Canis lupus familiaris: one gene and its partner. The protein of the gene in region 1 interacts with the protein of each later gene in a pairwise test. Links are inferred from orthologs where the notes say so. Each region holds a gene or a part of one and is shown on either strand. Other genes may lie near its edges.

Evidence for each region.
Region 2: the proteins of DDX58 (region 1) and MAVS interact in binary tests that used the Homo sapiens proteins (3 or more experiments, as listed by UniProt). The link is inferred for Canis lupus familiaris from reciprocal best matches to the Homo sapiens genes RIGI and MAVS.

What each region holds. Positions count from the first base shown.
Region 1 is NC_049232.1:50,025,833-50,030,778, reverse strand, and holds the start of DDX58 (antiviral innate immune response receptor RIG-I), read left to right. Parts: upstream 1-1,763; 5' UTR 1,764-1,931; coding exon 1,932-2,037; intron 2,038-3,561; coding exon 3,562-3,696; intron 3,697-4,946.
Region 2 is NC_049245.1:17,966,082-17,970,462, forward strand, and holds part of MAVS (mitochondrial antiviral-signaling protein), read right to left. Parts: intron 4,139-4,381; coding exon 3,966-4,138; intron 3,304-3,965; coding exon 3,150-3,303; intron 1,277-3,149; coding exon 774-1,276; intron 1-773.

The DNA of each region.
Region 1 (4,946 bases):
CCCCTCAGACCACTTCACTCTAGCAACTCTGCTCACCTCTTTTACTTTCGCAGGCCTGGTTCACTCCTGGGTTTTTTGTGCTTTTTCCCTTTTCCTTTCCTTTCCCCTTTCCTTTCCCTTTCCTTTCCCTTCCCTTCCTTTACTTTCCCCTTTACTTACTTTCCCCTTTACTTTCCCTTTCCCTTTCCCATTTACTTTCCCTTTCCTTCCCTTTCCCTTTCCCCTCCTCTCCTCTCCTCTCCTCCTCCTTTCTCCTTCTCCTTTGCACTTTGTTTAGTAGAATGCTTTTTCACCCAAATGACCTGCTCTCTCACTTCATTTAGGTCATCCCTCATTAGCTCATCTGATATAAGCAGCCCTCACGACTCTATTCTCTTATCTGGCTTTATTTATTTCTCCTTCTTGAACTTACTCATATATTTTGTCTGTCTGCCACGCTGGACTAGACTAAGCTGTAAACCTGTCTTCTCCATTTTAGTCACGGTGCTACCATTCTTCTAGTTGCTCAAACCAGATGCCTGGAATGTAGCTTTGAGTCCCCTCCCCCTTTCCTTTCCACTGCTGCTCACTCCTATTGCTAAAGTATATCTGAAACATTTCATTTCTTACACTCTCCATGTCTACTGTCCTTATCTGTGATCCCATCATCTCTTGAGTCTCCTCTCATTGATACTTGTTCTGCATAGGAGCCAGGGGGCAAGTCTTTTCTAAAAATGTGATCAAATTACTCCTTAAAGTCCTGCTATGTGTTCCTATTGTACTTTATCCCTTGCCTTACAAGGCCCTGTTTACCAATGCAGCAACACTACATGCCATTTATCCCTTGTTCACCTTTTTTTTTTCTTTGATTCATTTGTGCTCTCTATCCCCCTGCGTAGAATCCCTCTCTTCCTACTCTTTTGGTTAATTCCTCCCCCATTTTTAAGGACTCAGCTGAAATGTGACCTACCCAGAGATATATATGCCTTTACCACTGTATTAAAATAGTTTTTTCCAACCTCCATTATTTTCTGTCTCGGACCCTATTTGATTTCTTTGTATCATTTCATATTTGCTTGAAAGACACTTTTAAGAAAATGAAATGGTAAGTCACAGTCTGGGAGAAGGTATTTGGGTGGGATACATGCATTCGACAATGGGCTCATCTCCAGAATAAATAACTTGTAAATCTATAATATAAAGGAAACACAATCAGGCAAAAAGATGGGAACAAATGCCTCACAAAAGAAGATGAATGGCCAATAAACACATGCAAATATGCTCACGTTAACTGTTCGAGGAGTTAAAGTCAAAACCACATTGATAGACAATGATGGCAAATTGACCAATGTAGATCTACTGGATCTCTTCGTCTACCGCTAGGAATGCAAAACGGTACGTCTGTTTTTGAAAACGGGTGGCAGGTTTCTGTGGAGTTAAACATTCACTTACCATAGGACCTACACGCCCTGGGGGAAGCAGTTACCACCCATATACATTTTTCAAAACTCATGGAATCGTACACTTAAAATTTGCGCATTTTATTGAATCTAAACTTTGCTATAAAAGCAAAATGGGGGGAAAAACCCCAAAATGATAATCAGAAAAGTTCCCGGGGGGTTGTCCTCGGTCCTTCCGGAGGACCCAGAGGGACCCGGTCGCGGGCGCCTCCAGATTGGCAAGCCAGGCACTCGGAGGACGCGAAACGAAAGCTCGGGAAGAGTGCGGTTGGCCCGGGAGGCGGGGCAGCGGCCGCGCACCCCCACACCCCTGGCCCGCGGCCGCCAGTTGCGGTTTCGATTTCCCATCCGCAGTTGGGGTTCCCCGGCGGCGGCCCCGCCTCTCAGCGCTGGGTCTGCGTCCGCTGCCTGAGATCCCTACAAGCCCGGCACAGGCATTTAAGGGAGTGAGCGCGGGCGAGGTGCGGACGTCCCCGGGAGCTGAGCTGCAGAATGACGGCCGAGGAGCGGCGAAACCTGCACGCCTTCCGGGACTATGTCATCAAGACTCTGGACCCTGCCTACATCCTGAGCTACATGGCCCCCTGGTTTAAGGATGGTGAGTGGTCCCCAGGGACGCCTGCCCCTCGGAGCAAGGAAACCACTCAGGACTCTGTTCTCCCCTTTTAATCAACACAAGTAGCATGCTAGGAACGCGGATGTTGAGGCAGGATCCTCAGGATTGTAGCCTGGAGTTCGCCAGGACAGTCTGAGGAGCCTTTAGGGGTCCAGATGGAGAAACAGCCCCAGAGAAGGGAAATGACTTGTGTAGGTGTGCACCTCTATTTAGGTTCAAGAAGGGGGAAACAAACCATTGTCCATTTTACTTTCTCTAATGCTTAATGTCTACCGTGTCTTCAGCTTTGTAGTGACAATAGAGATTCAGGAGTGAGATGTAGGCCCCTCTTTAAAATACTTTGCAGCCCAAGATTTTGTGGGAGTGGAGACTGCTGAGTATGTAAATGATTGCAAAATGCTTCAAGGTAATTGACAGTGACTTTGACAGTGACTCTTGCCGAGTCTTCTCTGCACTTAGGAATTACTGGAAGCTTGCCAGGGGTAAGAGACTCTGGGCTGAATGGCTGCCGGCTTCATTTCAGGTGTTTCTGTCTAGATTTTGGAGACACCTGATGATAGATCTTTGTTAATTTGAATCCAGGTGCACTGCACTGGAGAGGAACAGAGGCTTTGAGGAAAGAGGAAAAAGGAGGTGATGCCTGGAAGGAGCTGAAAGGAGAAAGGGGGATCTGGTCACTCCTTTTCAGGCTCCAAGTGCGGAAATATCAAGTGGCAGGACATGTGAAGGCAACCATTTGGTCATTGCCCCAGACATGGAGTTAGTGTACAAAGTCATGTGACCACCAGCAGTTTGGTGGATAGTTTTCTGTTCCTCGGCCTTGTGTGTGTGTGTGTGTGTGTGTGTGTGTGTGTGTGTGTTTAGCTCCTTTTGCCTTTTCTCCCATATTTCATACTGTCTAAGCAAAAACCTGGAAAGAGGACCATGAAAGTATTTCTAACTCTGCTTTCTGAGTCTGGTGTAATTAAAGATGCCATGGAGTGGTCCCATCTCCTTTATTGTGGGTATACTTTTTCCACACATTGTTAAGAAACTCTCTTTTTAAAGGATTGCCCTAGAATATGTTCCCAGACTTCCCACCAAACTAGAAGAAACTTCTAGAGAGGATGCAGGGTGGAGGGAAGGTAGGTTGATGAAGAATGAGCATCATCTGCCTGAACAGAGACTTTGCTGCCTTCTTGCAGTTCCTTCCATTGCTGGGATTTGTTACAATCGCCATCCCCATTTTTTTTTTTTAAAGATTTTATTTATTCGTGAGAGAGAGAGGTAGAGACATAGGCAGAGGAAGAAGCAGGCTCCTTGCAGGGAGCCGGATGTGGGACTCGATCCCCAGCCCAGATCCTGGGATTGTGCCCTGAGCTGAAGGCAGACATTCAACTACTGAGCCACCCAGGTGTCCCTTGCCATCCCTATTTGAGAAAGTCTGACAACCCTTTTCAGGTTTTTTTTTTTTTTCTTCAGTGATTAGTGGTTCTGCAGTTTGATGAGCCACTCTTCTATTTGTAGATGAGGTGCAGTATATTCAGGCTGAGAAGAACAATAAAGGCACGATGGAGGCTGCCTCACTTTTTCTTAAGTGCCTATTGGAGCTCCAAGAAGAAGGCTGGTTCCGTGGCTTTTTGGATGCCCTTGGTCATGCAGGTTAGTTCATTCTTCTTACTCATAAATCAGGATATTAACTGACTGTTTCAGAATGCGGTAAAAGTGAAATGCTATTAATTTTGAGCTATCCTCATGTGCTTCATGTTGCTTAATCTGAGGCAATGTAAAGATTACTTTCAATCACGATATAATTTGCCTACCTGAAATATCCAAAGGAATCTGCAGATTGTTGGGAGAGTTTAACAAGCTTATTAGATATAAGATTAGTATACAAAAATTAATTGCATTTCTGCACCATACACAAAAACAAACTCAAAATGGATTAAAAACTTAAATGTAAGACCTGAAACCATAAAATTCCTAGAAGAAAACATAGGCAGTGATATCTTTGACATCAGCCATAGAAACATTTTTTTACATTGATCTACTTTAGCAAGAGAAATAAAGCAAAATTAAACTATTGGAACTACATCAAATAAAAAGCTTTTGCACAGCAAAGGAAATCATCAACAAAATAAGACAACCTACTGATTGGGAGAAGATATTTGCAAATGTATCCAATTAGGGGTTAATATCCAAAATATATGAAGAACTTATACAACTCAACACCAAAAAGTCAAACAATCTTTTTTTTTTTTTTTAAAGATTATTTATTTATTTATTCATGAGAGGCACAGAGACAGAGAGAGAGGCAGAGACACAGGCAGAGGGAGAAGTAGGCTCCATGCAGGGAGCCTGATGTGGGACTCAATTCCGGGTCTCCAGAATCAGGCCCTGGACTGAAGGTGGTGCTAAACCACTGGGGCTGCCCCAAAGTCAAACAATCTGATTAAAAAATTGGCAGAATGTTAAGCAACTACAAAATACTAAATAAAAAGTTTGGCAAGCCCCCCCCCCCCCCAAAAAACAAAAGACAGAAGACACGAATAGACATTTTTCCGAAGAAGACCAACAGACACGTGGAAAGATGCTCAGCATCACTAACCATCAGGGAAATGAAAATGAGAACCAAAATGAGATGTCACCTCACACCTGTCAGAATGGCCAAAATCAAAAGCACAAGAAATAATAAATGTTGGTGAGGATGTGCAGAAAAAAGAATCCTAATGCATTGTTGGTGGGAATGCAAACTAATGCAGCCACTGTGGAAAACAGTATGGAGTTTCTCCAAATATTAAAAACAAAATTACCATATGGTCCCATAATTCCACTACTGGGTATTTATCCAAAGAGAATGAAAATACTAATTTAAAGGGATATAGGAACCCTATGTCTATTGCAGTATTATT
Region 2 (4,381 bases), on another chromosome or scaffold:
CCACACCCTCTTGGAGACTCAACCCATTGATTCTGCAGGAGGGCAGTGGGGAAGGGGGGGCGGGGCCTGAGGCTCTGCAAAGGTATCAGTAGTGACTTCCTTCAAGGCACCCCTCTCCCTACTCCCCGGCCTGCCTGTGAGCTCACCCTCATGCCCTTCCCTGGGCCCTGGGTGGCTGTGGCATCATCCTTCTGTGACATTTTGCCTAGGCTGAGGGCTATGGAGCAGCCACAGGGTCAGAGGCCTGGCCATGTGCCTGAAGGGTCCAACGGACTTGGTTCCTCTGTCAGACCGCAGCAGCAAGGCCTCAGGTGCAGGCCCAGAGGGGGCAGCTGTGGGGGGCTGGGTCAGTGTGGCTCCCTCAGGCTGCTTTAATCCAGCTTAAGACTGCTGTCTGTAAAGCCCTGGTCACAGAAGGGCAGACTGGATATCCTAGGGGCAAAAATCAAGGCACTGAGGCAGACAGGCCACCCTGCTCTACCCATCACTGTTCCGTCTGCCAAACAGCACTGCTGAGTTTAACCAGGAGCTGCAAGCTCTAAACAGGCCACCCAGCCCTCCTGAGGCAGCAGCACTTAAGAGCTCTAATGATTATTAGTATTCTAAAGGTGGTGGTGTGGTGTCTGGACAAGGCTAGATCTCAGCTCTCTCCCTACACCCTCAAGAAGAAGCCATGGAACAGCCCAGGCTAGAGGCTGAATGGAGACTAGAAAGGGTCCAAGAACAGGGCTTGGGGGGAAAGCCTGGATCACTGCTAGAAGGGAGAGACTCACCCCTGAGGGTACGTTGCTGCTGATGCTGGGCACTGTGTTGGCAGGCCCCTTGCTGGGCACTGTGCTTGCGGACATCTTGTGGTCAGGCACCAGGCCAGCAGGCACTCTGGGGGGCACTGTGCCCGCACGTGTTGAGTTGATGGGCAGTTTGGACGGTGGTAGACTCGTAGTGGGCATTGTACCAGAGGGTTTTGAGCTGGCAGGCAACTTGGAAGGCGCCATCCTGTCAAATGTTGAGTGGGTAGGCACCTTGGAGGGTGCTGTGCTGGTGGTCAGTGCACCAGTGGACACCCCTGCCATGGTGGAGCAGATGGTGGCCTCACCATGGTCGCCAGCAACCCCTGCAGAGGCCGAGCCAGGGGAAGAGGAGGTAGTGCCGGTGGACAGAGCTAATGCTGAGGGTGCAGGCAAACGGCTGGCCCTGGGGATGGAGCGGCTCAGGGGTTTGAAGGAGACAGTTGGAGACACAGGCCCACGGGCTGACGTGAGGCCGGAGGCAGTGCCTACAGGTGGCAAAATAAAAGGGGAAACACAAACCACAGGACCGTTACCCTAAAATCACAGTCGCCTTGGGATCAGAAGGCTGAAGAAAAATCTCTATAGCCTAGCTCAAGTACCTACTGCATCCAGGCCTCCCAACCTCCCAGCCGTGGAGTCCCTCTGGTCATTGTACCCCAGGCCCAACGGTCCAACTACTGCAGGTGCACCTGTGGTCCTCTCTATCCTTAGTTCGGGACCTAAAACTGCATCTATTCTCTCATGAGAGTGAAATGATCCTTTCCCCTGACAGCATCTAGGAGTTTGCAGATCGTTAATTATCCTCCGCTCTTTCTTCTCCTGTCTGGAACACCCCCCCCCCCTTTCCTCCTGCGTCTACTCCCTAGCTTGGTACAATTTTGGATGCTCCCGCCTCTGCCACCTTCCCCTCCCCGACCAGCAGGAGCCATCCTGGACCAGGGCGAGGTGGCTCTAGTAGAAGAGTTCACAGTAGTCATATGGCACCAGAGGGCCCCCCAGCCCCAAGTATGTGCAAATCTCCCAGGAGGCCTAAGGACTCGAGGGAAAGGGGGGCAGGAACAAAGCCAACCTTGAGAGGAGGGCCTGAACTAGGGCAAACAGGAGGGAGCAGAGGATGATGATTACCCATGGAACCTCTGAGAACACACATGTCAGGCTCTAACGCTGACAAAGGCCTGGAGTAATTCGGATGTACCACCTCACTGCCCCCAAAACCTAACACCACAGAATCTTTCAGGACCCATGTCCATGCATGTCCTGATATCTAAGTGCCCTCTGCCTCCCTGGTCCACTTCAGTCCCCTGAAGCTCCCATTTCCTGAAAGGTGTTCTACTGCAAGCTGACACTGAACAGCATAAATGGGTGCTTGGGAAAGGTTTTTGGAGTGACATGGGCATAGGGCGCTAAGATGGCTTCTCTGAGCCTTTAACTGTTCCCGTGCCTTGTGGCTATCCCAGGGACACCAAAGGCAGGGAAGACCATAGTGCTCCACAGAACACAGTTTAGGAAATAACGATGCAGAGACATGCCAGCCTGAGAGGTCAGAGTGGACAGCTCTATATTCCCAAGGTGGGGGTGCAAAGATCTAGTGTGGGGGTCCGGGCCCTCACCTGATGAAAATAATACTTCCTCTGGGGGCTGAGAGGCTTTAGTGGTTCACTGGCAGCTAGAGCCCCTCTTGGGGCAGGGCAGTGCCTAAGGGTTCCCCTGCCAGGAGATGGCCCCGGCCTTCTGCACCATCCTACAGGTCCTGGAGAACCCCTGCAGTGTCAGTCCCCTTGGAAGAGTCCCTAATCCTTTTCCTCTAGCTATATCCACACCTTCTGCAATGTGAGATGGGGTCTGGCACCCTACTCCTTGACTCTGCTAGCCTCGTGCTTTGCTCTGGCCCACAGAATAAGGTAGGAGGAAAGCTGTCAGTTCTGAGCCTTTGTCCCAGGAGCCTGCTCTCTCAGAATTCTGCTCAGCTGCAATGAAAGAGACTTATCTGGTGAAGGATGAGGACTCACTGAAGCAAACCAAGGGGCCCCAGCCAAAAGGCTTACGCAGAGTGTGCATGTGTGCCAGTGTGTACACAAGAGGGAATTTAGCCAAGATCTGAAGAACTACTCTGAGCCAGCCCAAATTGCTGACCCACAGAATCAGGAGGGAAATAGTCCTATCTTAAGCTACTAGATGCTGGAATGGTTTGTGACATGCAAAATACTGATATGCCCTCTAAGGATTCGGGTTGCTCCCTGAGGTATATCCTCTTTATTCCCACCCTTGCCTCCTGTCCATGGAAGCCAGAGGGGCAACTCTAGTCTTCACCCTCACTGGGAGGTCAGAGAGGCCTGTAACTCCAGATTCCACACATACCTGCTATATGGGCACCGCCCAGCCCTGTATCCTGCTCCTGATGCCCACTGGCAGTCAGAGGGTTGACAGCTGCCATGTCAGAGGAGGGCTCCCGGGGGCCAGCTGGCCTTCTCACAGCCCCAGAATGGGGCATCTGGGGGACTTTCTTTGAACTCTGCAAGAGGGAAAATAGAAATGAGGCAGTTGCTTCTCCCAGAAATGGGCATCTCCTACAGGCCTCAGCCCGTGCCAAAAAGCACAGAAACCAAGGAAGCCCCTGGCCCTGGCTTTGGTCCTTGACAGACCCTCTGCCTACAGAAACCTACCTCATAGAAAACACAAACCATCCCATGGGGAGACTCTATTCATCTGCCTGCCCCATAAAAGGTCTCCCTCTCTGAGGCTGCTGCACAGACCCCTTTCTTGGACTTCAAGTCCATGGTCTGGTGTTTCCTGGACACACCCCATTGTCCGCTTATCACATCCAGATAGAATCAGTCATTTTCCCCCTGAATTTGACTTTGCTGGCAATGATAACTCCATCCATCCCCTTACTTCCAGCTTTCCCAGTATCCCTCCACTCATGGTTCCCCGGTCCCTCAATCTAGTTCAACATCTCATCACATGAACCAGTGCAAAGACCTCAAAACTGTGACCTCACAGCAGGTTGATAAGAGGGTTGGGGGCTGCCACAGGGTGAAGCCCTGGTCAGCAGTCTGAAAGCCAATTTGGAGCATATCTCCATTGAGGAAGCCCTGAGGTTCTGAGCAGAGATTAGGCATGATTTGTGATGGAGACACAAAAGCAGGGGGCCCAAAGTAGACTGTGAGGACGCACCTCTTCCAGGGACTCTGGTAGCTGGGTGTCCTGGACAGGCAAGGGGAAACTTGGCTCCTCCTCTCTGTAGCCGTTGGTGGGTGTACTGGGGGCCACAGCAGGTGCAGGGGGCCCTGGAACCTCAGCAGGAACTAACTGTGGCTCCGCTGGGGCTGGGGGGTGGTTTGAGACCCCTGGGGGACAAAGATATAGTGATGTCAAGGGAACACTAGGAATGCTCCCAGTGACAGGAGAGGCCTAGGTGTTCCTGGCCCCCTGGATTGATAACTCTCAGCCCCCTGAAGCTCCCAAAGCTGTCCTGATGTGGGATGTACTTAGAAGAGACAAGATTCACTGAGTGGGAGACAGTAGCAGGAAGGAGAAAGAAGGGAAGGAGGGAGGGAGGGAGGATAACAAGGAGGTAGAAGGGATAGGGC